Linked DNA regions of Caenorhabditis elegans. The protein of the gene in region 1 interacts with the protein of each later gene in a pairwise test. Each region holds a gene or a part of one and is shown in the gene's direction. Other genes may lie near its edges.

Evidence for each region.
Region 2: the proteins of lrp-2 (region 1) and ttm-1 interact in a two-hybrid assay, tested with the Caenorhabditis elegans proteins (one large-scale study listed by BioGRID).
Region 3: the proteins of lrp-2 (region 1) and crb-1 interact in a two-hybrid assay, tested with the Caenorhabditis elegans proteins (one large-scale study listed by BioGRID).

Annotation. Positions count from the first base shown.
Region 1 is NC_003279.8:3,950,412-3,956,764, reverse strand, and holds the start of lrp-2 (EGF-like domain-containing protein), read left to right. Parts: upstream 1-2,773; 5' UTR 2,774-2,822; coding exon 2,823-2,907; intron 2,908-3,318; coding exon 3,319-3,465; intron 3,466-3,547; coding exon 3,548-3,685; intron 3,686-3,737; coding exon 3,738-4,013; intron 4,014-4,308; coding exon 4,309-4,428; intron 4,429-4,495; coding exon 4,496-6,353.
Region 2 is NC_003281.10:12,951,303-12,959,215, reverse strand, and holds ttm-1 (Zinc transporter ttm-1), read left to right. Parts: upstream 1-2,044; 5' UTR 2,045-2,203; coding exon 2,204-2,494; intron 2,495-3,882; coding exon 3,883-4,675; intron 4,676-5,862; coding exon 5,863-6,011; 3' UTR 6,012-6,247; downstream 6,248-7,913. Other genes in the region: Y39E4A.1 (uncharacterized protein), read right to left, coding at 6,874-6,969, 7,439-7,744. UniProt on the Caenorhabditis elegans protein: Promotes excretion of zinc from intestinal cells into the intestinal lumen in response to increased dietary zinc. Involved in cadmium resistance, possibly by promoting its transport from cells.
Region 3 is NC_003284.9:17,409,997-17,416,489, reverse strand, and holds the start of crb-1 (uncharacterized protein), read left to right. Parts: upstream 1-2,475; 5' UTR 2,476-2,640; coding exon 2,641-2,686; exon of another isoform or gene 2,687-2,798; intron 2,799-3,238; coding exon 3,239-3,524; intron 3,525-3,570; coding exon 3,571-3,670; intron 3,671-3,716; coding exon 3,717-3,867; intron 3,868-4,366; coding exon 4,367-4,509; intron 4,510-4,554; coding exon 4,555-4,650; intron 4,651-4,719; coding exon 4,720-5,161; intron 5,162-5,251; coding exon 5,252-5,391; intron 5,392-5,458; coding exon 5,459-5,572; intron 5,573-5,847; coding exon 5,848-6,029; intron 6,030-6,077; coding exon 6,078-6,309; intron 6,310-6,359; coding exon 6,360-6,455; intron 6,456-6,493.

The DNA of each region.
Region 1 (6,353 bases):
TCCAGAAATTTCTAGTCTATTTTCCATTCACTTTTTTTTTGTCCAAGGGTTTCACACTTTGTCCATCATGAGGTCACTCTATAGGGTTAGTAGGAGAGAGATTTAGAGCGTTAGAGATACATTTTCTCGGTCTCTTTCATTCGTTTTTTTTTTTTCATTTTTTCTCCCCACTTTTTTCATTCTCCATGTCTCTAATTTTTGAATCTCTACTTTTCAACCAAAAGTTTAAAGGAAAAATTAAACGGTTATAATTTAAAAAAACATGAAAACGATGAAAATAAAATTTCTACTTTGGTTAATTACTCCAAAATCTGGCAAATTTTAAGTTCAATTTTTTTCAAAATTGAATTTCTATACAAAAGTGTTCAGTTTACAACTTGGTTGCTGAAAATCTGAAAACGAAAGCTTTGAAGTTTTTTTGATAAAATTTTGATTCGAATTTTACTAAATATGTTGGTATTTGATTATTTTAGCATGATTCAAAATATATAGACGTTGGAATAATTTATCACAAAATGAATTTGATCCGATAGTTTGAAAAAATAAATTTTATTCGAAAAAATTTGTACAGAAAAACTTATCACTTCGTAAGTTCAAAAATTCCTGCCTGCCTACAAGGCGAGCCTTGATTGGGCCTACATGGCGTACCTACGGCCAAAAATTTGCGAAGTGTAATAAAATTTCAAATCTTAAAATTAAATAAGAAGTTCGAACACCAAGCACCCAAGGAGGTATGCCAAAATACAAAAATAATAGGCGATAGGTAGGCACGTAGGCAAGTAACTAGGCATGAGTCAGCTCACCAAAAAATGTGTCTGTGTTCTATAAAATCCCCTACATTTCAAAATGTTTCAAACTTTCCAAGTACCAAAATTTGGCAAAAATCCCCCTCTTCTCTAGTATCTGCTCAATTTGCAGTAAACTTTAGAATTTCCGATTCCAAAACTTTTTCCCACATCTCCCAAAACCTAGAACTGCTGCTTCCAAAAAAAGTCACGTAATTTCCCAAAAAAAACTTGTTATGAACCCAATAACTACCACAATTTAAATGCTCCAAATGCACGAAATACCATAAACATTTACCCTCTCCACTTCTACTCGATTTACCAAATATACATCCGCTTTTTCGTCGGCCACGCACTTGGCTCAACCATTTATCGTTCTGCGTTTCTCTCTCTTTTTCTCAACTTCCGTTCATTTTTCTTCTTCTTCTTGAAAAGTCAAAAAAAGACACCCAGAGATGAATGTCTCCAGTTTTATTGCCTACTTACTTGCCGCTTTTTGTCGGATCACATTCCGTTTTTTTATTGTTGCGCGTCGAATGTGTGCGGTCTGGATGAAATTATTCAGGAGCTCTTAGTTCGCTTTATTCATAAAAAAGTCTCAGTGGAGCAAAAAAAGCGTACTCTTGCAGACGCCATGTTTGAAATTTTTAGAAGGTGCGCGTGCTAGCTGTTCAATTTTTTTGCATAACTTTTGCACTTAACCATAACTATTGAAACTACAGCGTCCATATTTCGTTAGTTTTTGATTTTACTAAAAAGTTGTAAACTGACAAAACATTTATCGTGACTAACTCTACAAATTTGCAGTTAAATTTTTTTTTTTGATATCTATGAGAATCTGCTAAAGTTGTGCCAATTTATTTCTAGAAAACGAAAACTTATATTTTTGCTCTCAGTATTGTAAACTATTAATTGAATGTACTTACGCTAAACGTTTTCACAGTCAATCTATTAAATTGCCTCTTTGTGTCCACATACTGTTCCATTTACCCCCCCCCCCCCCCCCACCTTCCTTTCCCATTTCTTTCATCGCCGCCTATGTACCAAAACATAACTCTTTTCTTCTTCGTCGTCGCCTGCCAATTGCCTTTGACACTGCCCCGAATCACCAAAAAGTTATTTTTCATTGTTTCATTTTTACTCGACCAGTCTGAGTCTCATCTTCTCTACTCGTGTACCTTTTTTGGCCTTGTTGTCTGTTGGTGAGGGAAATCTCAAAATTGTAGGTAGTTTGGTTATTTTCTTTTTGGGGTTTTAAAAAGGATTCTTGCGTGGAGAGCTTCAATAGTTTTAGTTTATACTCCTTGAGGGACTCCATAAATTTTTTTTTAATTTGGAATGTTACTTTCTAAAAAGTATTTTTTTAGTTTTGTGTTTTAGTTTAATACAATTCGTTTTATGAATTGATCTAAACCAAAAAAAAACACAAGAAAACCAAAAAAATTGAATACGTTAAAAATACTTGCATTTAAAATTCCAAAAGTAATTTTTAAAAAAGGTGTAAAATTAATAAATCGCTGAGTTTTACAGTTAGTTTTTGCTCGGTTACCTTTTCCGGTAAAAGCGAAAAATGGATTTTTTTTTTGCTAGCTTCTTTCTGAGAAAAATCTCATAAAAAAGAGCAAACTTGTTTTTTGACTTCGTCTTCCTGCTCCTTCTTCCCTTCCCCCAACGCCTCATACTTTATAAATCTTGTGTGTTCGTGTTCGTGTTCACATTTCCTCTTTGTCAGTTTAATTTTGTTTATTGCATTTGGCTCATCGCCATCTTTCCTTCTCTTTTCCAAATGTCTTACTTTCTTCTTTTCTCTCTCTATTGCCATTTGAACATCTACAATATATTGGGTCATCTGAACCGAAACGAAATGGCAATTAGACAGAAGGGGGTTCTTGAATTAAAATCACATTGATTTCTCGTAATCGTTTTACTTTTTGACTTTTGAACTTGTCTCCCTTTTTTCCTTTTTCATCTTTTTTTGCTAATTTCAGTCAAAACCTGTACCTCTCGACTCTCCATGAAGGTGCTGCACACATTCCGATGCTCTCCGCCCGTTATTTAGTTATTCTTCTTGTTGCCCTTCAGGGTTTCAGCCTCGTTCAGTCAGATGAGACGTCAGCGGAGGGTGAGCTTTTTTCCTACGGTACTCGATCCAGTCACGAAATTTTTTTTTGTTAAATGTAAAGTGTGGGCGCCAGTAATTTTCAAAGACGTTGATTTTTTTTAATCTAAAAATGTGTTGAAAAATCAATGAAGTTTTGTAGAAACAAGTGGTTGGAAATTACAGTAATCTTCAAAGGCACACACCTTCTTACGCTTAACGAAGTATTTTTGTACTAAGACCGGATACTGTATATTTTCAAAATTCGGAAAATTTTGCCATGTCAGTGTAGTAAAATTTACTCGTGAAGTGTGTAAATGCATCGAGAATTTTCAAATAGTTTGAAAAAATTTTATTCTAAAGCCGTATAAATTTGGAAAAATAGCAAATTGCCTGTATTTTTTTTACTTTTCGGAATCAAAAAACCTTTTTCAGAAACCCAACCCCACTACCCAGAATGTGTTGCACCGATGCGAGAATGCGATGCAAAATCGCCGGGCGGTCCAAAATGCTATCCGGAACAGTGGTATTGTGACGGGTTTCCAGATTGTCAGGACAGTTCAGATGAGCCTTCCACGTGTAGTGAGTTGCTATTTTAATTTTTCTATTGTCTTTTTGAGAACATATTTCAACCACAAAATTCGTTTAATTATTCCAATTTCAGAACGAACGTGTCTAGAAAACGAGTTTGTGTGCAAAACGGGTAAATGTCTGCCACGTGGCTATTTGTGTGATTCGCAATACGACTGTGGACGTCTTCCAAACGGAGACCGCGACCTTTCTGATGAAGCTCCTGAACTTTGTAAGTCTTTGAAAATTTTATTTTCGTGGCGCTTCATGTCTAAACTTTCCAGGCAATCAACCACTACACTGTGATTACAACGAGTACGCGTGTTCAAAATCCGCACAATGCGTGCCTCTCTTCAAATTCTGTGATGGTAAACGCGACTGTTCGGATGGCTCGGATGAGCATTCGATGTGCCACGTGGAAGATCCAAAGACAGCCGACAGTTGTGAGTATGGAGCAGCAATGACGATTGATGGAATCAAGTGTTACTGTCCGAAGAACAAGTTTTTGAATGAGCAAGGAAAATGTGAATTTGTAAATCATTGTGAACGAACCAAAAATGGTGAGTTTTTTTTTAAGTATGAAAAAATATTCAACAGTTTTACGTTTCCTACGTTTTAAAAAGGTAAAGCTCAAATTGTTAGGATGAACTTTAAAATAGCCCCTGAATGAATTTAAAAAAAAATTTTGCTTTAAATTTTTTCAACGTTTTTTTATTTAGAAAAAAGAAAAAAAACGGGCGAAGTTTGAAAAAAAAATCGATGAGAAATCGACAAAAACGTCTAAGAATAAGACAAAGCAACAACATGGGAAATAAATGTTTAAAAAACTTCAGAAAGTGAAAAGTAGACTTTCAGGACTTCCCCCTGTATGCAGTCAAGATTGCACTGACAACAAGAACGGTACTTTCACGTGTTCCTGCTTCGATCCCAGGCTCACAGTTGTCAATGGAACGCATTGTGTGGCTGATAAAGATCGTGAGTTTAAAATTTTTTTGATGAACACTTTTATTTCAAAAAAAAAAAAACAAAAAACTTATTTCAGAAACCATCCCCAGTGTAGCAATTCTCACCAAGAAAAAGCTCTTTGTGCTTCAGAAAAACAAGATGTCTAGCTATTCAAGCATGCCTCGACCACTAGGAAAACCCGGAGCAATGACTCTTGTCATCCAGCATCCTGACTTCCCGGAGGCCACTGTTCCAATACTCTGTCTCTCCGAATCTCCATCGGCAAATGATAGTTATATCACATGCGGAAATGTTGAAGGCTCCGAACCTGCAACCAAGACTTATGCAATTGATTTTGATTTGTCTTCTATTCACATCATACGATTCGATAATATTGGTAACAACTGGATTTTTACGGATGCTTCTTATTATGTATTCATTTGCAAGCATAATAGTGTACGAATATCGTCCTGTCGAACTGTTACCGCAGGTGATATGGGAACAATTCAAGATATGAAGTATGATGGATTGAACGGACAGCTTTTGGTATCTGAAGTTGATGTTTTACAACAAGGAATATGGAGAATCGATGTAGCATCTGGTCAACGATACCGACTATCCTATCAACCGATTACTTCTCCTGCACTTGCAATTGACCCATTCACCGAGACATTATACTTTGTGGATATTGGCGCACGATCCATCAAAGCCGTTGACTATAATGCAAACTACTCAAGAACTATTGTTAGTGGCCGAATTGCGAAAGAAGTTAAAATGATTGATTACGCAGAGGGTCGGTTGTTTCTGACACTGAAAGACAATCGAGTATTTGCAATGAATGCATTGGATTCGAATTCTGATATGAAGATTTGGCAGGAAGTGACACCTCAGAGAAAACAAGGGAACGAGAATATTCAGATCCTTGAAGTTTTGCACTTTCGACGAAATGAGCATGCATGGAAGAACAAGGGAAAGAATATTTGCAAAGCGGCAATGTGTGATGATATGTGTATAGGGCATATCAATCAAACTTCGTCGTGTTTTTGTAGAGATGGGTACATTCAGAATAACACAAAATGTTCCGCCTCGAAAGATCTTAAAGATGAAGAATTATTTGTTCTTGCTCAGTTAAGACCTTCGAGGATCAAGATCCTTGGATTCGACAAGAACTATCGGACAGAGATCATCGGAGTCTCAGATCTTCTGAATGTCAAACGTCCGAGTGCAATGACTTTTGATCCAAAAGGAGAACAACTTCTGATGTATGATTTGAGAAGGCATTCACTTGTAGTGCAAAAGATTGGATCCACAAATTACACAGTTCACGGACTTACTGGAATCATGAACTGTGAAGGAATGGCTTATGATTTTACATCGGATAACCTCTACATGACTGATCAACGACGAAAGATAATTACGGTTCAAAGACTTTCAAATCTTTCCATCCAAAAAGTAGTTGTTAGTGGGAATATGAGCAATCCAAGAGCCATCGCCATCCACATTGCAAAGAGCTATCTTTTTTGGGGAAGTTGGAATGAGGACAATAATGACGATGAGAAGATCCCTGCAATGATTGAACGATCGAAACTTGACGGAAGTGAACGAAAAACGTTAGTCTCGAAGAACGCAATGTGGATTAATGGATTGACTTTGGATCTTAAAAATGATTACTTGTACTGGTGTGATGCATACCGAAATGTTATTGAAAGGATTCGTTGGAATGGAGCTGATCGAGAAGTTGTTGTTCATGGCGCTGACAAGATCTCTCATCCTTATGGGCTCGCTTTTTTCGACAATCACATTTTCTATACGGAATTCAAGAAAGGAGCTGTTAAACGAGTCAATGTAGATTTTCCAGACGACGTGCAGGAAGTCTTTCAGTATTCTGCAACGGTTTTCGAACTTTTGGTGTTTAAAAATAGCAATCCCGAGACCACATCACCGTGTTCAACGTC
Region 2 (7,913 bases), on another chromosome or scaffold:
ATCTAATAATATTTTTTTTATATATAAATTGTATTAAAATCAGAGATCAAGCGATCAGAAGATGATTTTTTTAAAGGATTCTTATTTTTTTCCTAAGAATCTTGTAGATCACAATTTTTGAACACAAATTAATTTGAAGCTTAAGCCTAAGCCTAGGCCTACGCCTAAGCCTAAGCATTAGCCTCATCTTAAGCCTAAGTAAAATGTTTTTGTAAAAATTCTGATGAGTTCTAAAAAATCACTAATTATTTTGTTGACTCCTTCTTTCCCCAACTAGTTTGAAAAAGTTCAATTCAAGCCCTGAAAATTTGTACCTTTTTTTTTGTAGTTCCTCCCTAGTTTCCACAACTTTTCTGGGAGTTTGTCGAAAAAATAATAATGTAGCCAAAAAGTAGAGAATACCGGAAATTCGACCCCAAAAAATTCAAATTTTCAACAACTTTTTTCTGAGATTTTTGAAGGATTTTTGATGGATGAAAACACAAAATACTTGATCTTTACATTTTCTCAACTTATTTTTTGAAGTTCAAGACATAGAATTTGTGTCTTTTTGAATTCAGAAGACCATTTAGAGGCAGTCTTATGTCCATCTCTCGCCTACATAAACGGCACATCAAACGATCTTGACCAAAGTTTTGTTTCACCTTTTTATTTTCTAGAAGTCTGCCAAAGTCTGTAAATTAAAATTAATTAAATTCCCAGTAGCTTAACAATAATTTTTACACTTTCGCCTCGTTTACAGGGAGGTAGATCAAAATCGTTTTTTTTTTCCTTCACTTTTCACTTGCAAGTCTCTCGTTTTTGCTAGATAGATAGATGCTTGATGGCAGGAAATACAATCTGGTTCTTCTTCTGCTTTTCCTTCATTGACTATCTATAATCTCTCTCCTCGTGTTTCTTATTATGCGCTTGTGAATTTTTTTTGAATGCCTCACATTTTCAGTCTTGCAATTCTTATTGCTTTGCAGAAAGCAATAAGAATTTTTTTTGAAGTTTTTTTTTCTGTTGAAAAGTTTCCAATTTTTTGTAAGAATTTGTTTGCTTTTTTGCTTTTTTGAACTTTTGGCATGAATTTTTTGGTTTTTCATATAACTTTTTCCTGGAATTTTTTTCCAAAAAACTTAAAAATTTGTGCAAAGCGGAGTTTTCAAGCTAATTTCTTTTTATCTTGTTAAAACTGATTTTTTTTTGAAAATTTTATGTCAAAATTTTTTTCATAAAAGTTGTAGAAGCTTAAAATTAAATGTTTACCTAATTTAAGAACCACTTGAGGTTTTTTTCAGAAATTGTATTTTTGAAAAATAAAATATAAAATTTTTCGATTTTTTGAAAATTTTCTAAACTTTTTTAAGGCAAAAAATATTTTTTTTTCTATTCTTTTTAATCTAAAAATTGCCGGATTTTTTTTGAATTAAACGATGAAATTTGAAGAAAAAAAATCTGGCATTTAAGTCGGTATTTTTTGAAAAATAACTGAAAATTAAAAAAAAATTTTTTGGAAAAAAATCCAAAAAAATACAGATTTTGAAAATATTCACGAAATTTCACTGGCTTTGAAACTTTAAAAAATGCACTGAAAACCTTCGAATTTTTCAATTCAAAGTACTAACTTTTTCATAAGAATCTAATTTTAGAAAAAAATGTATTTCTATTGAAATACGTCCAAAAGTAAGCTGGCTCGCGGAGCTCTTGGAGCTTCATATCCAAAAAAAAAACAAATTCCTGCATGACTCGAAAGATCTTTGATTTTTAAAAATTTGCATAAAAAAATCTTGCGACCTTCCTTCCCACTCAATTTTTTTCCTTTTTTTCCTATCAGCCAGAACGTTTTCCCATATTCAATTTTGTTCTCCATTTCCTTTTCCTATTCTCCTGTTTATTGTGTTCCTTATTCTCTTTTTTCACCCCATTTTTGTCTTGTTTATTTGTTTGTCAAAACGCATTCCACCGCTCCCCAGTCTTTGTGTTGTTCTTTGAAAGGGGACAACAAAAAAAATCGCGGAACTAAGTAACTAAGTTTTTCATTTTGAAATTTCGCTGCTCTTGTCAGAGTGTCCCACGTCGTTTTGATCTACGAAAATCTACAAAAATTGCGGGAATTTTTGGTAGATCAAACCTTGATGGGACAGCCTGACACACATACACGTGCCGTACTCATTTCTCTTAATTCCCGTTAAATATATTTTTTGAAATCTCTAGAACTATGACAATCTCAATGATATCTCCGTCATCAATCCGCCTATCCAGTGACAAACGTGACTCTTCCTCATCCAACCTGCCCGCCAACATCGAAGAGGACACCCAGTCGGTGTCCTCTTCGGATTCTGGAGTATCTGCCGACTCTATTGACCACCATCATCACGGTCATGGGCATGGGCACTCTCATGGGGGTCATGGGCACTCACACACACACAATAATGATGATTCCTCTTCGGATTGTAGTGGAGCAGGAGGAGGAGCGCATAAGCATAGTCATGATGAGAAATATCAAAAGGTACATAGCAAATTTTTTTGCAACATGGCTCAACTTTTACCTCTATTAAAATGACCATTATATTAAAACTAAATTTTTCAAAAAATGTTGCTTTTAATTTTAATTATTGCTATCTATGTAAAAAGCCCAAAATCGACCATTTTAGCATAAAAATGTGTTTTTTTTAAAATCAAGCCAAAACACGAGCTCGCAATTATACATATCAGAGGAAATTTTCAACTCCGGCAATTTGCCGATTTGCCGGAAATTTTCAATTCCGGTAATTTGACGATTTGTCGGAAATTTCCAATTCCGGCAATTCGCCGATTTGCCGGCAATTTTCAATTCCGGCAATTTGTCGATTTGCCGATTTGCCGGCAATTTGTCGATTTGCCAGAAATGTTCAATTTCGGCAATTTGTCGATTTGCCGGAAATTTTCAATTCCGGCAATTTGTCGATTTGCCGGAAATTTCAATTCCGGCAATTTGTCGATTTGCCGATTTGCCAAAAATTTTCAATTCCGGCAATTTGGCGATTTGCCGGAAAAAATCGTTTGCCGCCCACAAATATCTAGCAATACGACGACTTCCTGTGAATTGAATATTTCATCCTAAAATGTTGAAAAATATTGGAAAAGTGTCGAAAATTTCAATAACTGATTTTTTTTCCAAATTTAAATTAGTTTCCCTGAAAATGTTCTTGAAAAATTGCAATTTTATTTGAAATATATAAAAATCAAGGCATTTTTCAGTTAGCGGGACGTTTTTTTGACAAAAATGCGAAAAAAAAACGCAAAAAATATGACAAGAATTTATACATTTGAATATTTTTCTGAAAAAATCAAAACATTATTTGACGCGCAAAATATTTCGACGCGAAAACTACAGTAATTCTTTGAATGACTACTGTAGTGTCGATTTACGCGGCTCTATGTTCATAGATTTATCGATATAATATCAAAATTAAGCAAAGAATGAAAACAAAGATAATACGAAAAAGCAAAGAAAAACTGCGCTAAAGTAGTAATTTATTGAATTACTGAATTACTACGAGATATTTTGCGCGTCAGATATGTTGTGCAATACGCAGTCTCACGTGATGTCAGAATGTCTCATTTCGGCTTTATCTACGTAGATCTACAAAAAATGCGGGAGAAGAGACGCAGAGTTCGTGCTGACGTCACATTTTTTGGGCAAAATATTCCCGCATTTTTTGTAGATCAAACCGTAATGGGACAGACAGCCTGGCACCACATGCATTCTCAGAATTCAGTGTTACCGCACAATTTTAGTAGTAATTTTTTTAAAAACACAGTGTATAACTTTAAAAAAAAACATTTTTTCGCCAAAAAAAAAATGGACATAAAATTTTTTGTTTGGATTTTCCAACTAATATTTCTCGTTTCCAGGGTCGCCGAGCAGAAAAAGTGCTATGGGCAGTTGCAGCACTATCCGCAGTCTTCATCGCCGCCGAGTTCGTCGGTGGATTCTGGGCTCAATCGCTAGCAATTATGACAGACGCCGGACACATGCTCAGTGATCTTCTCTCATTCATCATCTCAATTTTTGCGATTCGTTGTGCACGTCTTCCCGCATCGAAGCGTCTTTCATTCGGTTACGAGCGAGCCGAAGTTCTTGGTGCTCTGACGTCTGTGATCATTCTCTGGGTGCTCACGACAGTGCTCGTCGTCGTCGCTATTCAGCGAATTGTGAACAATGAGCATGAGGTGGATGCTGATGTGATGCTCATCACCGCGGGCGTCGGAGTCCTTTTTAATATCGTTATGGGATTGGTGTTGCACTTCGGAACTGGAGGTCATGGGCACACTCATGGAGGACACTCAAGTCATGGACATGCTCATGATGGAAAGAATGTGAATGTTAGAGCTGCTCTGATTCATGTCATTGGAGATTTGGTGCAATCCATTGGAGTCCTGATTGCTGCCCTTATCATTAGGTTTACCGGATGGACACTTGCCGATCCGATTTGCACATTCCTTTTCTCGATTATCGTGCTCTTCACGACGGTTACAGTTATGCGGGACATCTTTTTCGTTTTGATGGAAGCCACACCGAGCCACTATGACTTGAGTGATGTGAAGAAGGCGTTGAGTGCGTTGGAAGGTGTAAAAGGTGTTCATGATTTGCATTTATGGTCTATTGGAATGGATAAGACTGCGTTTTCGGTGCATTTGGCACTTGGTGAGTGGCTTCTCATTTTGGAGTTTTGAGTAAAACTGAGAAAATTTTGGCGGAAAATTGAAATTTTTCAATAAAGATTTTGGCGGGAATTCAAATTTTTCAATAGTTATTTTGGCGGGAATTCAAATTTACTTTTAAAAATGTTTGCCGGGAATTTCAAATTTTTAAAAAATAATTTTGGCGGGGAATTCAAATTTTTCCATTGAAGTTTCTACCGGGAAATTCAAATAATTTAAATATATATTGTGGATATAAATGCAAATTTATTCAATCAATTTTTGGCCGGAAATTCAAAATTTTAAATGAAAATTTTGAAGGGAAATTCAATTTAGAGCAAAAATTGGATTTTAAAAATTTCAAATTTTCTCTGAAAAACTTTGAATGAAATTTAAATTTTCTGAATAATTTTTGGCGGGAAATTCAAAGTTTTGATATAAAGATTTTGGAGGAAATTTAAATCTTCTGAGAATAATTTTTAACGGGAAATTCGAACATTTTTTATAGGAATTTTGGCGGGAAATTCAAAATTTTAAACTGTTAGTTTTGGCGGCAAATTCAAACTTTGGCTATAAAATTTTTGGCGGGAATTCAAACAATTTTCTTTCGAAAAATTTGCCGGGAAATCGAGTTTTCCTTTAAAAATTTTTTGGCAGGAAATTCAAATTGTCTCTCTGTTGCACGTGGGGTCAGAATGTCTTATTTCGATTTGATCTTCAAAAAATGCGGGAGTTGAGACGCATACATCTCATCTGACTTCGCATGGTTAAGAGCGTGCTGACAATTTTTCTGTAAAAATATTCCCGCATTTGTAGTAGATCAAGCCGCAATGAGACAGCCTGACACCACGTGCTATTGAAGTTTTGAAGATAAATTCAAAATTTTCAATAACAGTTTTGGCGAGAAATTCAAATTTTTTAAATGAAACTTTTGAAAAAAAATTCAGATGTGCTCTAAAAAAATTGGCAAAAAAATTCAATTTTTTCCAATGATTTTTGGTGGGAAATTCAAATTTTTAAATGAGAATTTTGAAGGGAAATTCAAATTTTTTGAGAAACAATTTTGGCGGGAAATTCAAAGTTTTCTGGAAATTTCCTGGAATGTTCTGCAAGGGAAAAGTGCTGCCTTTCATGATATTGAATTTTAATATTTAATAAAAATATATTTTTCTAACTCTTCCAATATTCCAGAATCTCCTAACCGCGCCATGGAAAATGTTGCCGAAGCCCGTTCCCTGATCCGCCGGCGATTCGGAGTTGCCGTCGCCACTGTCCAAGTGGAGCCGTTCGACGAGAAAATCGATTCCTGTGACACGTGTCAACAACAGGAAACTGCTTGATTCCAGTCCTCCATCGTTCTTCTAATCTATTACGATACGGGCAAACTTCTACGTTTTTTTTTTCCAATCAATTTCATTTTTTTCAAAACGTTTACTTTTCTCGACTTTTCCTGTCAGTTTTTTGACCTACTCACACGGGTTGTATTCATTTGGCACATCCAGAGATGCCTACTAATGTTCATATTTTTCCTTACTGTCCAATCCTGTCAAATCGATAATAAATGGCTTTAATTTTTTTTTTTTGAAATTTTTGAAAGAAAATCGAAATATTAAAAAATCAATAATTTATTCAAAATCAATATTTCTGAAAAATCGATAATTAATAGAAAGTCAGTAATATTCGAAAAATCAATATTCTAAAAATCGATCATTTTTTTGAAAATTGATATTTTCAAAAAATCGATAGTTTATAGAAAATCAATAATTAAAAAATCGATTGTTTATAAAAAAATCTCTATTTTTGAAACATTGTTAATTTGCTACGAATCAGTTTTTTAATTGATAAATCTTATAAAACCAGTATTTTTAAAAATTGATAATTTTAGAAAATCAATATTTAAAAAAAAATCGATAATCTATGAAAAATCAATATTTAAAAAATCAAAAATTCATTATGGCTCAATGTTTGAAAATCGATCATTTTTTTTCAATATTTAAAAAATAATCGATAATCTATGAAAAATCAATAATTTAAAATAAATCGATAATTGTATTCCTGAAAAATCGAACACTGAAAGAAAATCAATATTATTTTTTGTTGAAAAATCAATAGTTTTTATTGAAAATCTATATTTTGAAGAACAACACAAAATCGAACGAAAAATCCAATATCTTTATTCATTTTCCACCCAAACTGTTTTATTTAAAGCGGGAAAATACTGAAGTAAACGAGAACGAATAAAACCAGACAAATCGTCCAAATTCCGAGCATTGTCCAGTAGACGATTTTCGCGTTTTTCTGGAAATATTTGAAGATTTCTTGGGAGGAATATTTTGCACAATAGTGGGGAGAAAATCGATAAATTAAAAATGTATATATCGATAATCTATGGAAAATCAATAATTTTAATAAAATCGATAGTTTATAGAAAATCAATATTTAGAAAAAAATCGATAATCTATAGAAAATCGATATTTTGTAAAAAAAATCAATATTTTAAAAATCGATAATCTATAGAAAATCAATGTTTGAAAAATCGATAATTTATTGAAAATCACTAATAAAAAAAATCGATAATTTATAAAAAACAATATTTTGTAAAAAAAATCGATAATCTATAAAAAATCTATATTTTGCGAACAATCGAACTTTTATAAAAAATCGGTATTTAAAAAATCGATAATCTATAGAAAATCGATATTTTGTGAAAAAATCGATAATTCATAGAAAATCAATATTTTTAAAAATCGATAACGTAAAAACTCACAAGCTTGTTCTTCAACTTTTTGATCTTCGCCTTATTGACTCTCGGCTTAATGGACGAAGGATCCGACTCGGGCAACTCCTGAACCCCATCACCAACCACATCACCACTTGCCACCTTCTTATCCGATACGAGCCCACCGGCGGCTCCGTGAGCATCTGGCGGTGGCGGTGGCGGTGTTCCTCCGACTGTCGGCGCATTTGGATTCAGATTGTCGTAGGGCATCGCGGCGAGATTGTGGTACTCGTCATCGGGTTTTTTCTGATCATTCGCGACGGGAGCAGTTGGATCGAAAAATGCATCGGCCATTGTTTGCAGAAGATGAGAATTTTCTTTTATTTTATTATTTGATTTGCCACCGAACTCTCTTTGAAACAGAAATAAATTTTTTTGAGAAGGGGAGGAAGGGGCGATTATATCATTTAAAAGTTTACGGAATTTTCAAAATAAATAGTAAATTTTTTCCCACTTTTTCTGA
Region 3 (6,493 bases), on another chromosome or scaffold:
TGCAGTGATTGGGCCTGCTGCTTAGTTCTATTTCTGGATTGTGTAATTCTAAGTTTTTGATACAACTACTATGTATACTACTAGATTCCTAAAATTGCAAAAGGCTCTGTAAAATAATTGTAATGGTTTTTGCATTATTACGTACAACTGTTCTAAATTAATAAGTTATTTTTATAAGGTTTTGTGTTTGAAAACGTAAGGTACTTAGTGAAGTTTTATTAGTACAGGAAAAATAGTCAGAATTTTTTAATAAATTTTCTAGCTCGATCTACATAATTAGTATTCAAAACCTTGATTCGAAAATAATTGTCTCACTGTTAGTCAACAAATCATCACGGACTATTTGTCTTCAATTATCTTGTTCATATCCCTTCTTCTCGCCATAACCGGAAATGCCTCGAAACAAATACATGTGTCCCTTCACTCTTAATACACCCTATATTCCGGTCGTCCACGCACCTTTTTTTCCTCAGCAGTCCATCAAGTGTCCCTCCGTCCTTTTCTGTCATTTGCTGCACAATTCTATTCTTTCCAAAAACTCTTTTTGTAAGACCTGGGGTTATGTGTGCACTGTTATCAATACCATGCTCTTTTCCATGACCTTACGACCCCGCGCGCGCGCAATCGTTTTGTTTTGTCTATATGCGTGTTTTTTATTGACTGACTGACCACTACATATTTGCGGCATATTCAAAAAAAAGGTGTTTAGAGATAGACAATTAGGCGACGAGATGTATCATGCACACATACATTTTTATCTTCTCTAGCGTATTTTTGCGCCGTATTTTTTTTCTGATGCAAAGTCCCCAGATAATACCATAAGTAGAACGCGATCCGAGAAGCTAGCCACAGGGGTGATTTTTTTTCGTTGCTAATTTTTTTTTGCTTTTCAAAATTGTTGTTTTCCGTAAGTACAATTTTAGCATTTTTTTTAGGAACGACAAAAAATCGTCAGATCAATTTGTAATTTGAAATTTGAATCCAAATAATCTCTTGGTTTTAAAAATTTAGCATTTCAACAAATATCAACACAAAAACTAAGTTTAATTATTCAATGTTTATCAACTGAATTTTTATTAAATTGAAAAAAAAGTTGTTTTTAAAAGTTGTTTTTTAAAAATTTATTTCATCATGTTACCGTGAATTGAAAATTTGAACTTTTCAGTTATTTGAGAAGATTCCCTATTTTGAAAATGTTGGCAACATATTTTTGAGCGTAAAATGTTCACAATGAACTGTAATTTTTTGATTAATCAAAAATATATATCAGAATCAATTTTAAGGTTTGTGACCTCCAACATTTCCAAAAAACATAACTGATAGCATAACAAGTAAGTTCAAAAACTTTGCGTCTCTTGAGTATTATTGGGAGGTAGTTTGAAATTCCCCAACTATCTTTGAAACATTTGAGAATTTCACTTTTTAAAATTATGTAATTGATTCACTTGTTGGTATTTTTCCATGAAATTCCGACAGTTTGCCATTTCCAAATGCGCGGTCATTTGTCAACTGTGCTCCGCCTTGGCCTTCATTTCTACTCAATTTTCTCAGCAAAGTTTGTCCCGTCTAAACGGAACTACTAAACTTTTTTGCTTTTGCCGTTTTTATTTCGGAAATTTTTATTTGAATTTTCATCCAAATATTTTCTAAAAACGTATTTCGATATCGGTAACCCCAGCAAATCTCATTTTTCCGCATAACAGGACAAACACACTGTCCTTTTCGCTTCACTTTTTTGCTATCCCCTTCTTTTTTCCGTGTGCGTGCCGGGTGAAACTAGTCTCATCATTTGAAAATTGTCTGTATAATATCCGACCTACTACACATAAAATATATAGATGTTGGAGATGTTGACAGCCGGAAATTGTTTGGAACTAATTAGCTGCTGAGGGTTTTTTGCTGTAATTCAAGTGGACCCAGCACTTTTTGAGTATTTTGAATTTGTACTTACGCATAATTAAGCTTGTTCATTCTTATTTCTTTTAAATAAAAAAACTCCTGAAATCACAATAAAACAATATTGTCGCTTGTTATGGGATAAAACCCCATATTTCAGCTAATTTTATTAACACATACAAGTACATTAGGAACTAGATGATAATAAAAAAAAGTAGGAAATATTTTATCAGACGACAATTAAAAGTAAAATCAAAAGCATGAGCTGCCAAACTGAAACGAGCACAAAAAAAATGTCGAAATTGTACAAATACTCTCGAAAACCTTTTTTTTTAACTAAACGCTGAATTTCTATGTTTTCACTTTTTATAAACGTTTGAAAATTTTGTATATCTTCAATCACTCGGTCAACTGAAACTTTCCCTACTATTTCCAAATTACCGTCGAAATGCCACAGGGCAGCTAGCTGACCCCTGGCAACCACGAGATTCCCCCCCCCCCCCCCTTCATCTCTCTTGCCCGTGTTTCCTCTTCCGTTCTAATTACCTGCTTATTATCCGACAATACACCTGGCTCTCTAGGACCTTCTCTTTCTCTCTCGCGTCACTCCGGCAGCTAGCGTGTGCGGTACAGAAGAACAATCGTCAAGCGGCAAACTACCTTTTTTACCTCCAAACACAAAACAATTCGACTAGCTGCCGTCATTACTCCTATTTGGGATCTGCATTCAATGATCTACCACTCATGAAATATCAACATTTTCTCATATTTTGTACCCTGGTTACAAATGGTAAGTCTACTACTAAGATATGATGTCATTCGGTTTCACAGACTGATTGATCTGAGTGTGAAAAGTTTTGGTTTAGACTAGATGAGAGATAGAAATGTATAACACGAAGTTTAAGTGAACATCTCAAAAACTGAAAATCTAATTTAAATTCAAAATATGTTTGAGAAAGTTGATTTTGGGCTTTTAAGTGTTGAGCATTGTTGTATCTGAAAACTCTCAATTTTTGCAGCCCATCTCTTCTTTGATTTTGTAATCGTTTATATATTTTCAACTAAAATTGTAAACAAATAACTATTAACATATTTGTCGGTTAACAATTATTTCAGAAGCCCAGACCTTTTCAATAAAACACATGACTTCTTTCTCTGAAAATTAAATGAAGCTCGTATATTTCATACCAAAAAACAAAATAAATTTCTAAATTTTGTTTTCCAAAGATCAGTTCCAATCTAAAACTTGGACAAAACTACCAACTGACTTTTTGCAAAAAGTAATCCATCATTATCATTAAGACAGATGAATACCACAAGCTGTCACTAAAACTCTTTTCAGCACTATGTAACAGAGCGTGCAGTCGGAACACATGTCTTAACGGCGGAACTTGCACAGTGAACGATGAGACGCGAATGTTTCAGTGTGAATGTCCGAAGGGTTTCAGTGGGTTGCTATGTCAGGACAACTGCTCTTTGCACTGTCTCCACGGTAACTGCGTGAAAGGAACGTTTGGCGAAGAAACTTGCCAGTGCTCCGAAGGATGGATGGGCTCACTTTGTGATAATCTAGTTACTGATGATGACACTGCTCAAAAGTGCTCACCGCAATGTGGCGATGACGAAAGGTATACATGACCTTGTGCAAACCAAAAACATGTATGTTTTTTATAGATGCACAAAAGGAGCCGACGGATCATACATTTGCCAGAGCAACGAGCCGTCTTGCGCAACACACACTTGTCAGAATAACGGCACTTGTGTTGCCGAGAACGTGAGTGACTTGAGTCCAGAGTGATAAAAACCAATAGAATGTTCAGGGAAATGTAAAATGTGCCTGCCCACCTGGATTTGTTGGAGATCACTGTGAAACTGACGAGGACGAGTGCAAAGAAAATTTTTGTCAGAATGGAGCAGATTGTGAAAATTTGAAAGGAAGTTATGAATGCAAATGTTTAAAAGGATTTTCTGGTGAGTTTTGGTTTGAAAATTTGGATGGGAAGGATGAAATATAGTTTTCCAGTAGACATAATTGTGAAAAAAAAACCTGAAGTTTGAAAAACGTTTAGTTAGATTTTTTCAATAAGACTAGTGTGAATTTGATCAAAAATCATTTATAAGGTGCTAAATGACCAAATGTCATAAAAAATTTTCTAAACAATTCGGGGATTTTTTATCTCGAGTCAAAAATCGCATACATGTTTTTGCCACGTTTCGACAAATCTGAAGCATTGTCATGTTGATCCCTTTTGGCTCGAAATAAAATCATTTCTTCAGGTTGTTCAAAAAGTTTTATTATGATATTTGGACAAATACCCAGTTTTTTTGCAATACTTATAGTTTTCAACTTTCTTATTATTTTCTCAATTTTGTTAACGTTGCTGATTTGTTGAGAGTTTACATTCGAATAAATTATTTTATAAAAACAAAAGAAAACTAAGAAGAAACATGTTTTCACAATTTCTTCTAGGTAAATACTGTGAAATCCAAGACAAGAAACAATGCACTTCTGATTATTGTCACAACAATGGTCAATGCATTTCGACTGGCTCCGATCTCTCCTGCAAGTGCTCTCCCGGGTTTGATGGTGCATTCTGCGAGCTCAAAGCAGAGGTAACACCAATTTTCTCACTGTTAATTGCTTGTGTTTTTTCTCAGGTTAACGAGTGTATATGTGAAAACCCGGCTCATGTTTGTTCACTCGTAAACGGGACGTCAAGGACAACGCAATGCGAGTGTCCTTCGGGGTTTATGGTACGTTTGACGAATAATCTGGGCATGTTCGGATATGGGTCCCTCGCGCAATCTATCGTTTAATTGCAGGGTGCCGACTGTAAAGAGTTGCAAGCTCGTCCATGCGATCGTGAGCCGTGTCTTAATGGGGGTCACTGCGTCGACGACGGGCAGAATCTCTTCACCTGCTTTTGCCTTCCCTCTTTTACCGGCATCTATTGTGGAGAGCCTGTTGATTGTCTGGTTAATGGATCGGATTGTAAGAATGGGGGAAAGTGTGTGTTCGCGTTAGCCGCAACTACCTGCCAGTGTCCGGAAGGATTCAATGGGTCCAATTGTGAAATAAGTAATTCATATCGGTCACATCCAACATGCAGTGACATTCGATGTTTGAATGGTGGAAGCTGTAAACTCGACGCAGAAGGGGAACCGTTTTGTGTATGTGAAGAAGGGTTTGATGGACCGTTCTGTGAGCCAAAATCTGGATGCACAATTAATCCCTGTCAAAATGGAGGAACTTGCCAAGATGCAGGTAATAAGAAAAAGAATAGAGTTTTTTAGGGAGCTGTAAATTAATTTTTGTGCTGATACTGATACTCTTTAAAGTTTTACAATTTTTCAGATGGACAATACTTCTGTCATTGCACATCAGGCTTTGGTGGCGTCCACTGCGAAACGGTGGATGAGCCTTCAACCCCTATTCCCACATTAGGAACGTTTCCATCTTTTACAACTTCTGGAATCGACGGATTCTCTCAGAGTGTGAGTGTTTTAGTTTTTTATTCAAAATTCGTTCATAATAAATACTTGCAATATTAAAATTTTTCAGAAAATATCTTGCGAAGACTGCGTCAACTCATCCAATTGTCTTGACGTCGAATCTGGGCCAGTTTGCATTTGTGATGATGGATATTTTGGACAAAAATGTGATCAGAAACATGATGTAGGTTTTTTTTAAATGAAAAACAGTGTAGAAGAATGCTGAAGTTTTACGAAATTTAATTGTGTCTTTTGAATTCAAAAAACTAAAACTAAAATTATATTTTTAGTCTTTTCTATGTTTTGTAACATAAAGAAATTAGTCCCTGATTTTGTTCTACATTAAATTTGAGACAGTAAGTTCAAACAGTTTTCCAGAATTGTTGGTATTATATATGTACTTTAAGAAAATTTTAAAAAGTAAAAAATGTAGACAAATCATTCCATTCTTATTTTCAGAAATGCTCTAAAGTATCCTGTCCATCTGGTCAAACTTGTAGCCAAGTGAATGATAACGTGAATATCACTGCACAATGTGGATGTGAAATAGGCCACTTTGGACAACAGTGTGAAATGGTGACGTCAGCAACATTTTCGGCGAAAAGTTTGTATATTCATCAGAGCTCCAAATTCTCCCTTGGGTACTTTCTTTTTCTCTAACTATATATTTTATGAAAAAAGCATTTCAGAACTTCTTCATTCGAAAATATTGCCTATGAACTAGAGTTTTCGTTCCGCACAACTGTGGAAAATACCCATTTGGCGAGCAGCGAGAACATTCTCGGAGAGAAGATTTTGTCTATTCAACTTTTGTCGGGATACTTGGTGTTCAACATGACCGGAAATTCGTTGGAGCACCTGCTGCCAATGAGAGTTAGCGATGCTCAATGGTATACAGTGTTTGTAAAGGGAGAGGATAATGTAAGTTTAAATTTTTTTTAACTTGAGTATATATTTTTAATTTATTACAGAAAATCCAAATCGAAGTCTCCACTGAAAATGGGTTCAGTCTAGTTCAAAAGTCAGTCAACGGACAGCTTGAAGTGTTCCTCACCAGATTTGGAAAGGTATTAGCGTATGAAATACACTCTTTACTCAATAAACT